Schizosaccharomyces pombe: one gene and its partner. The gene in region 1 interacts genetically with each later gene. Each region holds a gene or a part of one and is shown on either strand. Other genes may lie near its edges. The genes, in order: opa3 and mug4.

Region 1 (3,991 bases):
CAGCATGATAGTAAAAGATTTGCCCGTGAGCATTCTTTGGGCTGTAGGGTCCCCCACTCCGCTGCGTTGGTATATGCGTAGACTGAAGCGAGCAACAGAACGTCCGCCATTACTGTGCATATACGATGAATCCAGAGTAGTAAGGATTTAGCATACTATTCAATACATCAGGAGCTAGAAATTAACAATTTATAGAGTATTTTCTTTCCAAAATTAAAGAATTCTTGTAAATTGGGCGATATAATTGCTAATCAATAGGTAATGAGTTTTTTTACCGTAAGAAGATGAATGCTAATATTAATAGATACGACTATCTCTTTAAGCTTTTACTTATTGGCGACTCTGGTGTCGGTAAGAGTTGCCTTCTTCTACGTTTTGCCGATGACACTTATACTGAATCCTATATCTCTACTATCGGAGTTGATTTTGTACGTCCGTTTTCAAGCAGCTTAACCATATTTATTGCTAACTTTTTTTAGAAAATCAGAACTTTTGAATTAGAGGGAAAGACTGTTAAACTTCAAATCGTAAGTGATAGTTTACTTCTCGTTGGCGTTCCGGGATATTTTTTTATTAACGATTTATCATAGTGGGATACCGCTGGTCAAGAACGTTTCCGTACAATTACTAGCTCATACTATCGTGGAGCTCATGGAATTATCATCGTATACGATGTTACCGATCAAGGTATGTAATGTGTGAAGTATGGAAAACCAATTTGATTGTCTTCCGTTTTCTGTATATGCGCGTATATGCGTTATAAGGCGTTTGGGGGATATTTTTATGGCGTTTTCTAGTCTTCACATTGTTTCCGACGCGGTTCCGAGGCTAATGCTTGCTTCTTAGATTCTTTCAACAATGTTAAGCAATGGCTTCAGGAAATAGATAGATATGCCGTTGAAGGAGTCAATCGTCTTCTTGTAGGAAACAAGTCAGATATGGTTGATAAGAAGGTTGTTGAATATTCTGTTGCTAAGGAGTTTGCTGACAGTTTGAATATTCCTTTCCTCGAAACGTCTGCTAAAGATTCTACAAATGTTGAGCAAGCTTTCTTAACTATGTCCCGTCAAATTAAGGAACGTATGGGAAATAATACATTTGCCTCTTCCAATGCCAAATCTAGTGTCAAGGTTGGTCAGGGCACTAACGTTTCCCAAAGTTCCAGCAACTGCTGCTAAACTACATGTTTGTTGGTTATACCTCTGAATGCGCTTTTAATATATTTTTATATACATACGTTTTACGTACTTCGCTGTCATTCCTTTTGTGAGTTTCATTCGCTGACGGTGAACTGCTAATATTAGGTATCTACTTTCTGAGTTTTTACGATACTTATAGAAAGTTATTTGTAGGTTTGGATGCATGCTACGTTTCCCTTTTATCAACGGTAGTTTAAAATCTTAAGCAAAGCTATGTAGAAAACTGCTAGTCTTATGTACTTTATTTTGTAGCGTGATATGATAAACTGTTGTAAACGTTGTATAATACGCGTATTGCTCATTAACTAGCACTTTACAGTATTCCCTAAAACTATAGTTGCTTGGAACTATTTGCATAACATACGGTTCGCTAACAAAAGTCATTAACTAAAAATCAAATATATAATAGTAAGTCAAAGGTTGAATGGTATGTACGTTACATTAAGAAATGAAAATACAACTGTACTACTAAGGACAAGTATTGATAACTGCGACACTAAAGTTTCTAATACAAGCAAAATATTAAGCACACACAGGGATCGGTGTAAGAAGGATTAGTAAACCAATCAGAGAAACCGACAGAATATGCATATCAAGTTCAGCAACATCAAATTTACTTTCCTCTTCCAATAACTTTTCTAATTAATAGATTAAAAAAATAAAGCACGCACTTGGTGTTGCGGTTTTAAATATTGCTATTGATTAACGGAAGAGTATATCTTCGACCTTGCATAAATATCCTAGCTATTGTTACACGCTTATATCTGCATTCTAATTTTATCGGAGATTTCTTTCTTTTATACCTCTATTTAATTGAGGTGGTAGTACTTTTAGTCGGTAATTTGAAATCCTTTGCGGGTTTATTCCCCCTCGAATATTTTTGAAGTTCTGGTATCCATTAACATTTCTCTACAATCCAATGTCTTCTCTAGCCTTAAAAATCGGAAGCTTGTTAGTAAGAACATTATCCAAACCGATTGCCAATACAATCAAAGCCCAAGCTAAAGAGCACAAGGCTTTCCGAAAGGTATAAATCAGTAAAATAGATGATAAAGAGAATCTTATAGCATTACTAACGAAATTTCTATATAGGCATGTATTGAATTTGCTCAATGGATGCATCGCGCGGAATTTAGAATAACAGGAATTAACAGAGCTAAAAGTGGAGGAGCTAATGTACGATTACGACCTTTAAACGATGCCAAAGCAGTCGATGCTGGTGCAACATTTTTATCAGAAACTTTTATATTGTATGAAAATTAATACGATTTGACGTACTTCCTCTCCACAATGCTTAATACGGCACATTGTGAAGGAGCTACGAAATCCAACTTGTCACAATGTTCTTCTCTTGCTAACAATTTACAGTACTGTTGCTGGAGGAGCCATTTTATTTGAAACATGGAGGGCTCGTAGAAAGGAAAAGAATAGACGAGATGAAGTTGCTGAAGCGATTCTTGGTTTACAACATGAAATCGTTCGTATTAACGAAATCATGGAAAAGCAGTTTGTTTTACAGAAGAAAAAGAATGAACTCCAATCTTCGACTGAGGAAATTGATAGTACCGAAAAGGATTTTGACGAACTCCACAAAGTCATTCTTAAAGTTGAACGTGAGCTCCATACTCTTCGTCAAAACACGCCAAGTCAGAACGAGCAAGCAGAAGCCACTCCTTCAAAGGAAATCCCACGTGAAACAGTCTCAGAAAAGGCAGATCATCCTCCATCTTCTAACACCAAATCGGTTTCTACAGGTTAGTGGATGGTGAATACTACGATTACACATAACTTGCATTAATGAGTAAATTTTGATACATTGCAGAAATTCATCTGTTCCCATTTCACCAAACTGATGTTTACTTTCTTTTAATTTATTGTACATTTGATACTTCGTTTAACCAGATCACATTTCCAAAATTAGTTACGGTTTATTTATAGCTTTTTTGACTTAATATCTACTGAGTTTTATCGCTCATTTTACAATACATTGCACTTCGTTATTTTAGATAGTTGGCTGTTAATATAATAATAGCCTAAGATTATGATCACCAACGTACGCCCCTTTCTGAGCGCGTGAAAGCTTCCCTTTGCGTTCACTTCCCCGCTGTGCTTGGTTTGTAAACTTAGCATCCTTTAGTTCAACTCAGCATGTCGCTGCTTCGTTGGATGGGAATGGTAATTCAATTGTTAGTTATGAATTGAAGACTGACAAACTATAGAATTCCCCAGGCTCCACTGACCGGCGTAAAAGCACTTGGGAAGCAGAGTTGCCGAAGCCATCAATTCGCCCTGAAACCCTAACAGATCGATTCTATGGTTTAACAAATGTAAGCATTTTTATTAGTTATAATTTCTTCTGCTCTAACATATTTTTAGTATGGAAATACATGGTATGGCGATCATACTTGTAGCGTTGCTTTTATGATTGTAAATTTCTAACGAAATAGTTACGTGAGTTCTGTCTTAGTATCTTTATACCATTTAAAGCCCTTTCGTGATTCTTTAAATTCGTATCCTCTTCCGAGTGCTCCTCCAAATTTTAAAAGCGTTTGTACAAAAACCAACCATCCTGAATCATCTTCCTCACGACACAGTAAGAAAAAGAGCATGGAGAATAGGAAGTCCTCTTTATACGGGTCCAATGGTATAAATTCTTGCGGCTGTGTCGATATTAGTAACGTCGGCTCTGAATCCGGGACGAAGCATCAAATCGTTGTAGGCGAAAGCAATTGTTCTGCTTATGGAATGAAAGAAAACATATATACTTGTTTAAAGGATCTTTATTGCTCCGT
Region 2 (5,599 bases), on another chromosome or scaffold:
ATATGAATATGAATATAAAAGAAGATGTAATTAAAAAGTAGGATTTGGAATTTTTCACAACAAAAACTCGATTAACTGTAAATGTCGAGTCCTATTGTTGGTTAAAAAGAAAATTACTTAAAAGTCCTTTTGTAATAAATTCTACTCTTAAAAATTAAAACTGTTTATGCCTTATTATTACACATGTGTCCGACATGCCTTGCCTGTCCAAAATGCCTTGTCTACTATACTTTTCTATACTCAGTCTAACGCATTTACTTTCTCTGCCTGCAACCTTTCTGACCCGCTATAACGATAGTGACTGTATTCGTTTAAGCTTAGTTTCCGTGTTCCATCATCAATTGTTAAGCTTATTTCCGCAAATACACTCGCTCTCGCTATTTAAAGAATTTTCGGATTTTTTCGGTCTGCGCAGTAGCGACTATGAAGGCAGCAGAAGTACATTCCTACCGGAGAATGAGTTCCGTTGGTATTACACACGGAAGGCAAGTGACAAGGCTAGTGAAGGATGATCGATTGATCCTATTTCTCGGGTTGTAAAGGCCCCAAAAATAGAGTGTTACAAGAAAGTAATGGGCCTTGCTTTGTGCGTATTTTTGTTATTCAACATGAGTTTGCTATAGCATGAATTTTCTCTGAAATGCGCATACTAAATTGCAAAACTTGTTTGATAAAAGTGCAATACACTTATCATAACGATGTTGATGAGTAAATGAATGTTGCGCATCACTTGACAGTAGCAAAGTGCAATTATTGGTTTGCGCAACGTTGTTTTGTTCATTTCGCCAACTTTGCTTATTCACACCGGTTCTATGTTCAGGCATTTTGTTGGTCGTTGGTTACTAGAGGAAAAACTGTTGTTGTTGATACAAACAGAACCCAATTGTCCTTCAACCCAATCGTTTCTCAATGTTTACATGGTCAAGGTTTGTAGTGGAATAAATGGAATGGGCTGGGATGAAAGGAAATTAGCACGTGGAAGTGTAAACACATGATTTTTCAGCAATCCCGCTAATGTGATAGGCTTGGGTGAGAAGATGAAAGAGAAATAAAAGAAATAATCGTTCATCAATTCGTTCAACAGTTATAAAACAACCCGACCAGATAAAGTATTTGAAAGATTGGAGTCATTCAAGAAAGCGTAAGGATTCGAGATTGGAATCGTTGGAGAGATAGAAAACAAAAAAAAGTTTTGCTAAGCAACCATTGTATAAAATTTGAAAAAGAATTTTCCTTTGCTTTTTGTTTTTTTCACTTAGTACAAGTAAACAATCTCTTCCATTGAACCAAATCGTCCATCCTTTGTCAGCACGACCCTTTGCATCCCTCTCTATCCCTATAACGATAATCTTTCACTACGCTGTCCTTGTCTAGGATTTCTGTTGCTGCTAATCCTCGCTAAACATGCAATAGTATTAAAAGTTGTTGAATGACATCGTTATTTTACACAACGAATCATAGCGAGATCATCGCTGCTCATTGTCGTAAGCAGGCCAGGTGTGTTCATATTATAATTGTATCGGGTAAATGCAGCCCATGTAAACAAAAGAAATACGCTTAAAAGGGATTAGCTAGAAGAGAAAAAACCACCAGAACTAAAAACCAATAAAATAAAATAAAAAATCATTGTTTTTCTATTTCTTTCAGTTTCACCTTCTCGTTACTTCCTATCGCCTACTATCCATCTACCCACTGCCCACCTACCAATCTTCGGTCGGCCTCGTCTTCACCCACTTGTTTTTGTTTCATTCCCCCTGCATACACCCCATTTTTTTTATTCAATCTTTCTTTTCCTTTTCTTTTCTTATTTTTGGCTGTTTATTGCTGCTGTTTCCATTCCATCATCTGCTGGCTCTTTCTTTGTTTACATGTGCTATACTGATTGCTTCTTTGTCTTGCCTGATCTCCAGTACCACATCATTTCTTTCTTTTTACATCTCTTTTCTTCCTAAACCCATTTGTATGCAGCTCATGAAGTATTTCCTTTTTCCTTCATTATTCATTCATTACATGAAATAAAGTGCTCGTTTACCTGCTTTTCAATTCATTTGCTGATTTGATTTGCGCTTCTTTTTTATTTTTCACTATGACCCCACCGTCCTCGTCTTCTCATTTCCCTTCCCCTTCTAGCGCCAACAATGATTTTCATTCCTTAAGCCTTGAAGCGCATGGCTCCTTGTCCGACAAATTCATTTCTCAGTTTCGCTTAAACTACACAATTATACCCATTGCGCAAAAATCTAATATCTCTTTACCCTTCCTAACTTTGTCTCCATGCTCCTTCACCATCTGTTCTCTGCGAGCCCGTTTACATTCTCTGCATGGCCCATCCACAGTTTTTTTAAAGCGTGAAACTTCCCAAATTAGCGCTCGCGTAAATGACGAAAACGGTTTTACTGCATCTCCCAGTTTTTTTAGTGTTGATTGCTTCGACGAATTATTTCCTACTCTGTCGACTACCGATGAGCAACCAAAGGAACCATCTATTATTTCCATTTCCAGTAGTTCTTCTGACCCTAGTTCCTCCCCTCCTCCTTCTTCCTCCCTTTTAAAAACTCCCGACAATGATTTTTGTGCTCGGCCAGAAACGTTTGTAAAATCAGATACCGCCGATATAAAGCTACAAATACATCAGAATAATCTCGTTTTAACATTCCTGGATACAACGACTGTCTCGAAAGTAAACATCGTGCTAGAAATTCACATCCCAGTGCTTCGTGACTTTGTGACGTTTGAACAGTATATTCCTTTAATGTTTTTACCGTCACCATTTGAGACGATTCTTTCTTTTGATAATCTAAAATCGGACAGTCCCTCTTCTGACTTACATTTAGGTTGGGATCATACTGTTTCCAAAGAGTCAATGTCACAATCTATTGCTGAAGTCCTAAATCCTTACAACAAAGGTGTTTCTCGCTCTTTGAATGACGCTACTAACATGGAGACTTATCACTGGTCCCCTTTTCCTCCTCAATTTTCAACCTTTAATGATAATGCTCTTCGCCTTCGCATATACTACAAACCGAAATCTTGGCTTCCCAAAAATTCTAGTTGCTCGCTATCTGTAGACGTGAAAGCTACTTTGCTTGAGACTACCCCCCCATCATGCGAAGTATCCTATAATCTACTACTAACGTGTCGCTCCTCTAACCGTTTTCGCCTTTTTCCAGCTTCTACTCCTAACAGTAATGGTTTATGTCGAAACGACTCAAAGTGTCGGTTTTTAATGATACTTCCGGAAACCATTATTAAATCTCCTTCTTCTTTTATTGGTGATTCATATAATATTGCAAACATTGATCCACCAAGTATGTAACTTTTTTCCTCCTTTTCGCTATCAAACTACTAACACTTTTCCCGATAGGCTCTATGAACGTTCAATCGTCAGAATTTCGTGTAGGTGAAGTGCAGTCTTTTACTACAAACACATCATCCTTCGCATTCACATTCAAGGAAATTGTACAGTTGGGCTCCAAAGCTTCTGTACCCATGATTTTGTTCCCCGCCCCTTCTAACTATAAGCTAACGATAGAAAAACCTCCTTTCCCATGCGATTTAACAATACCTCATACTGCTATAAATGACTCTTGGCTTCCTATGAAGTTGAAAGAGACGAATGCAATTTCTTACTACAGAAAAACATGTTCCTCATGCAAGTATCCTTTCCAATTCTTTATTAATAAACTACCATTCTACCAAAGTCCCTCACTACCCTTGAGTGCTACTTATGTTTGGATTGCTTCTGCTCTTTTGTCAGTTCAGCCTGGGAACGGCTCCTTTAACATAATGCTTAGCCTGAAATTTGTTTCCTCAATGAAACCGGGAACTGAGCTGTTAACTATTAAACAACCAAAGTCTTCACTTTTAAACTGGGGGCTAGTTAATGGCTATCCTAAAACTGAAGGAAGAATTGTTCTTCTTCCTCGCAACGACATTGTACTAATTCAAGCTGATCAACCTACTTCGGTTTTTGATTTATGTTGGACTATTAAACCAACCTATGAAAAAAGCTCAAACTTTTCTTGCTTACAACTGCCAATTCCAGTTTTAAATACACCCATACTAACGCCAGTGACCATTAATATACAATCTACCACTTATTATCTAATTGGATATGCCAATCAAAATTCTAAAAAAACTCTAGATCAACCCACTAGCTTATTAGTACTCGGCTGCAAAGCTAAAAACGTTTCTGAACTAATACTATCTTATCTACCGGAAAAACCTATACCTGATGGTGCACCTATTGTAACTAATGTCGTTGAAACTAATAAAACCAATGAAGCACCTTCGAGTTTTCGAAAGTGTTTGCAGCAATTCCTAGTGTTTCTGACTTTTACGGGGATGACACTTTTTATACTTTATCAACTAACATTTCCTTATGGTGTCGCTAAAGACAACAGTTCATTTATTGATACTCCACTGCCTCATAGTTGTGAAATGGAAAAGAGTTTAAATGTATTACAGCATAAAGTTTTGCAACTGCAGGCAGTGAATATGAAATTACATGATTACTATGAAAAAGAACCAACTGAAATTTACAAAACCGTATCGGTTACTAGCACTCAAATAATGCCAGCTGTTACAAAAATGTCATCATTCGAACTTGAAAGGGAGCAATTTCATAAGGCATTTGGATTTTTACGGCTAAATAGGAAGAAAGATGACAATGCCAACTAAACATTAATTTTTTCAATCATCAGCACACTTTTTTAATCGTACATACAAAATGCAAATCTTTTGATTAAATTGAAATTTTTTATTAATGAATGTGTTGTTGCAAAACGACTTGGATTAACAAATCGAAAATTTTCTCATTTCATTACATTAGGCACTACTCACATTTTCTACATTTTGGGTACTCCACCAAACGTAACGTTGTCTGAAAGTACGAAGTTTAAATTGTACAATTAATTCCACAATATATTAAATATGGGTAAATCAAAGAAAGCAAAAGCTAAAAGAGCTGATTTTAATGTAAAATTGTTGTCGGAAATAGCTGTATTAACTGATTTTTTAGAAACAAAAACTCAAGGTGGGAAAATCAAAAAATGCACCAAATAATTTTACCGATACCTCATTCAGAACAAAAAGTATGAACAAAAGGAATTTTTATTCAAATAACTAACCTAAACATCTAGCGCTCGTACTTCCAACACAGGCAGCTTTAGAAAAGGAGGATTTCAATACAACAGCTAAGGATCAGGCGTACTTTGCACATCTTTTAGGAATGTTAAAGCATCATAATGCCAATCAACGGCAGGGTAAGAGAAATTTTCTATTAACTTATGCATCTTTTGCTAACATGTTAAAGAGACGTTGGAAAAGCTTACACAATATGTTTTATCTCATACAAGCATTTTGACGACGTCGACAGCGCTGCTGTTAAAGTTAACATCGCCTTTGATACTTGATGAATCCTCATCGGTACGAGATTGTCTATATCGATTTCTTGAAAAATTTATATATATAATGGGGCCAGAATTGCTGGAACCGAACATTGGAATGATATTTCTCTACACACACTCAGGGATGACTCATATTACTCCTTCAATACGGAATGACTCTACAAAGTTTCTCTCCTTACTCATCAATGCTT

The links.
Region 2: mutations in opa3 (region 1) and mug4 together harm fitness less than expected from each alone (positive genetic interaction), as found in Schizosaccharomyces pombe (one large-scale study listed by BioGRID).

The regions. Positions count from the first base shown.
Region 1 is NC_003423.3:2,932,864-2,936,854, forward strand, and holds opa3 (mitochondrial outer membrane lipid metabolism regulator Opa3), read left to right. Parts: upstream 1-1,827; 5' UTR 1,828-2,118; coding exon 2,119-2,226; exon of another isoform or gene 2,227-2,291; coding exon 2,292-2,449; exon of another isoform or gene 2,450-2,567; coding exon 2,568-2,958; 3' UTR 2,959-3,259; downstream 3,260-3,991. Other genes in the region: GTPase Ypt1, read left to right, coding at 126-136, 305-428, 480-527, 591-687, 847-1,178; ubiquitin hydrolase Ubp9, read left to right, coding at 3,348-3,374, 3,419-3,526, 3,576-3,589, 3,647-3,991.
Region 2 is NC_003421.2:805,343-810,941, reverse strand, and holds mug4 (protein mug4), read left to right. Parts: upstream 1-2,086; coding exon 2,087-3,308; intron 3,309-3,364; coding exon 3,365-4,680; 3' UTR 4,681-4,866; downstream 4,867-5,599. Other genes in the region: rRNA processing protein Ipi1, read left to right, coding at 4,933-4,977, 5,021-5,093, 5,142-5,264, 5,315-5,599. UniProt on the Schizosaccharomyces pombe protein: Has a role in meiosis.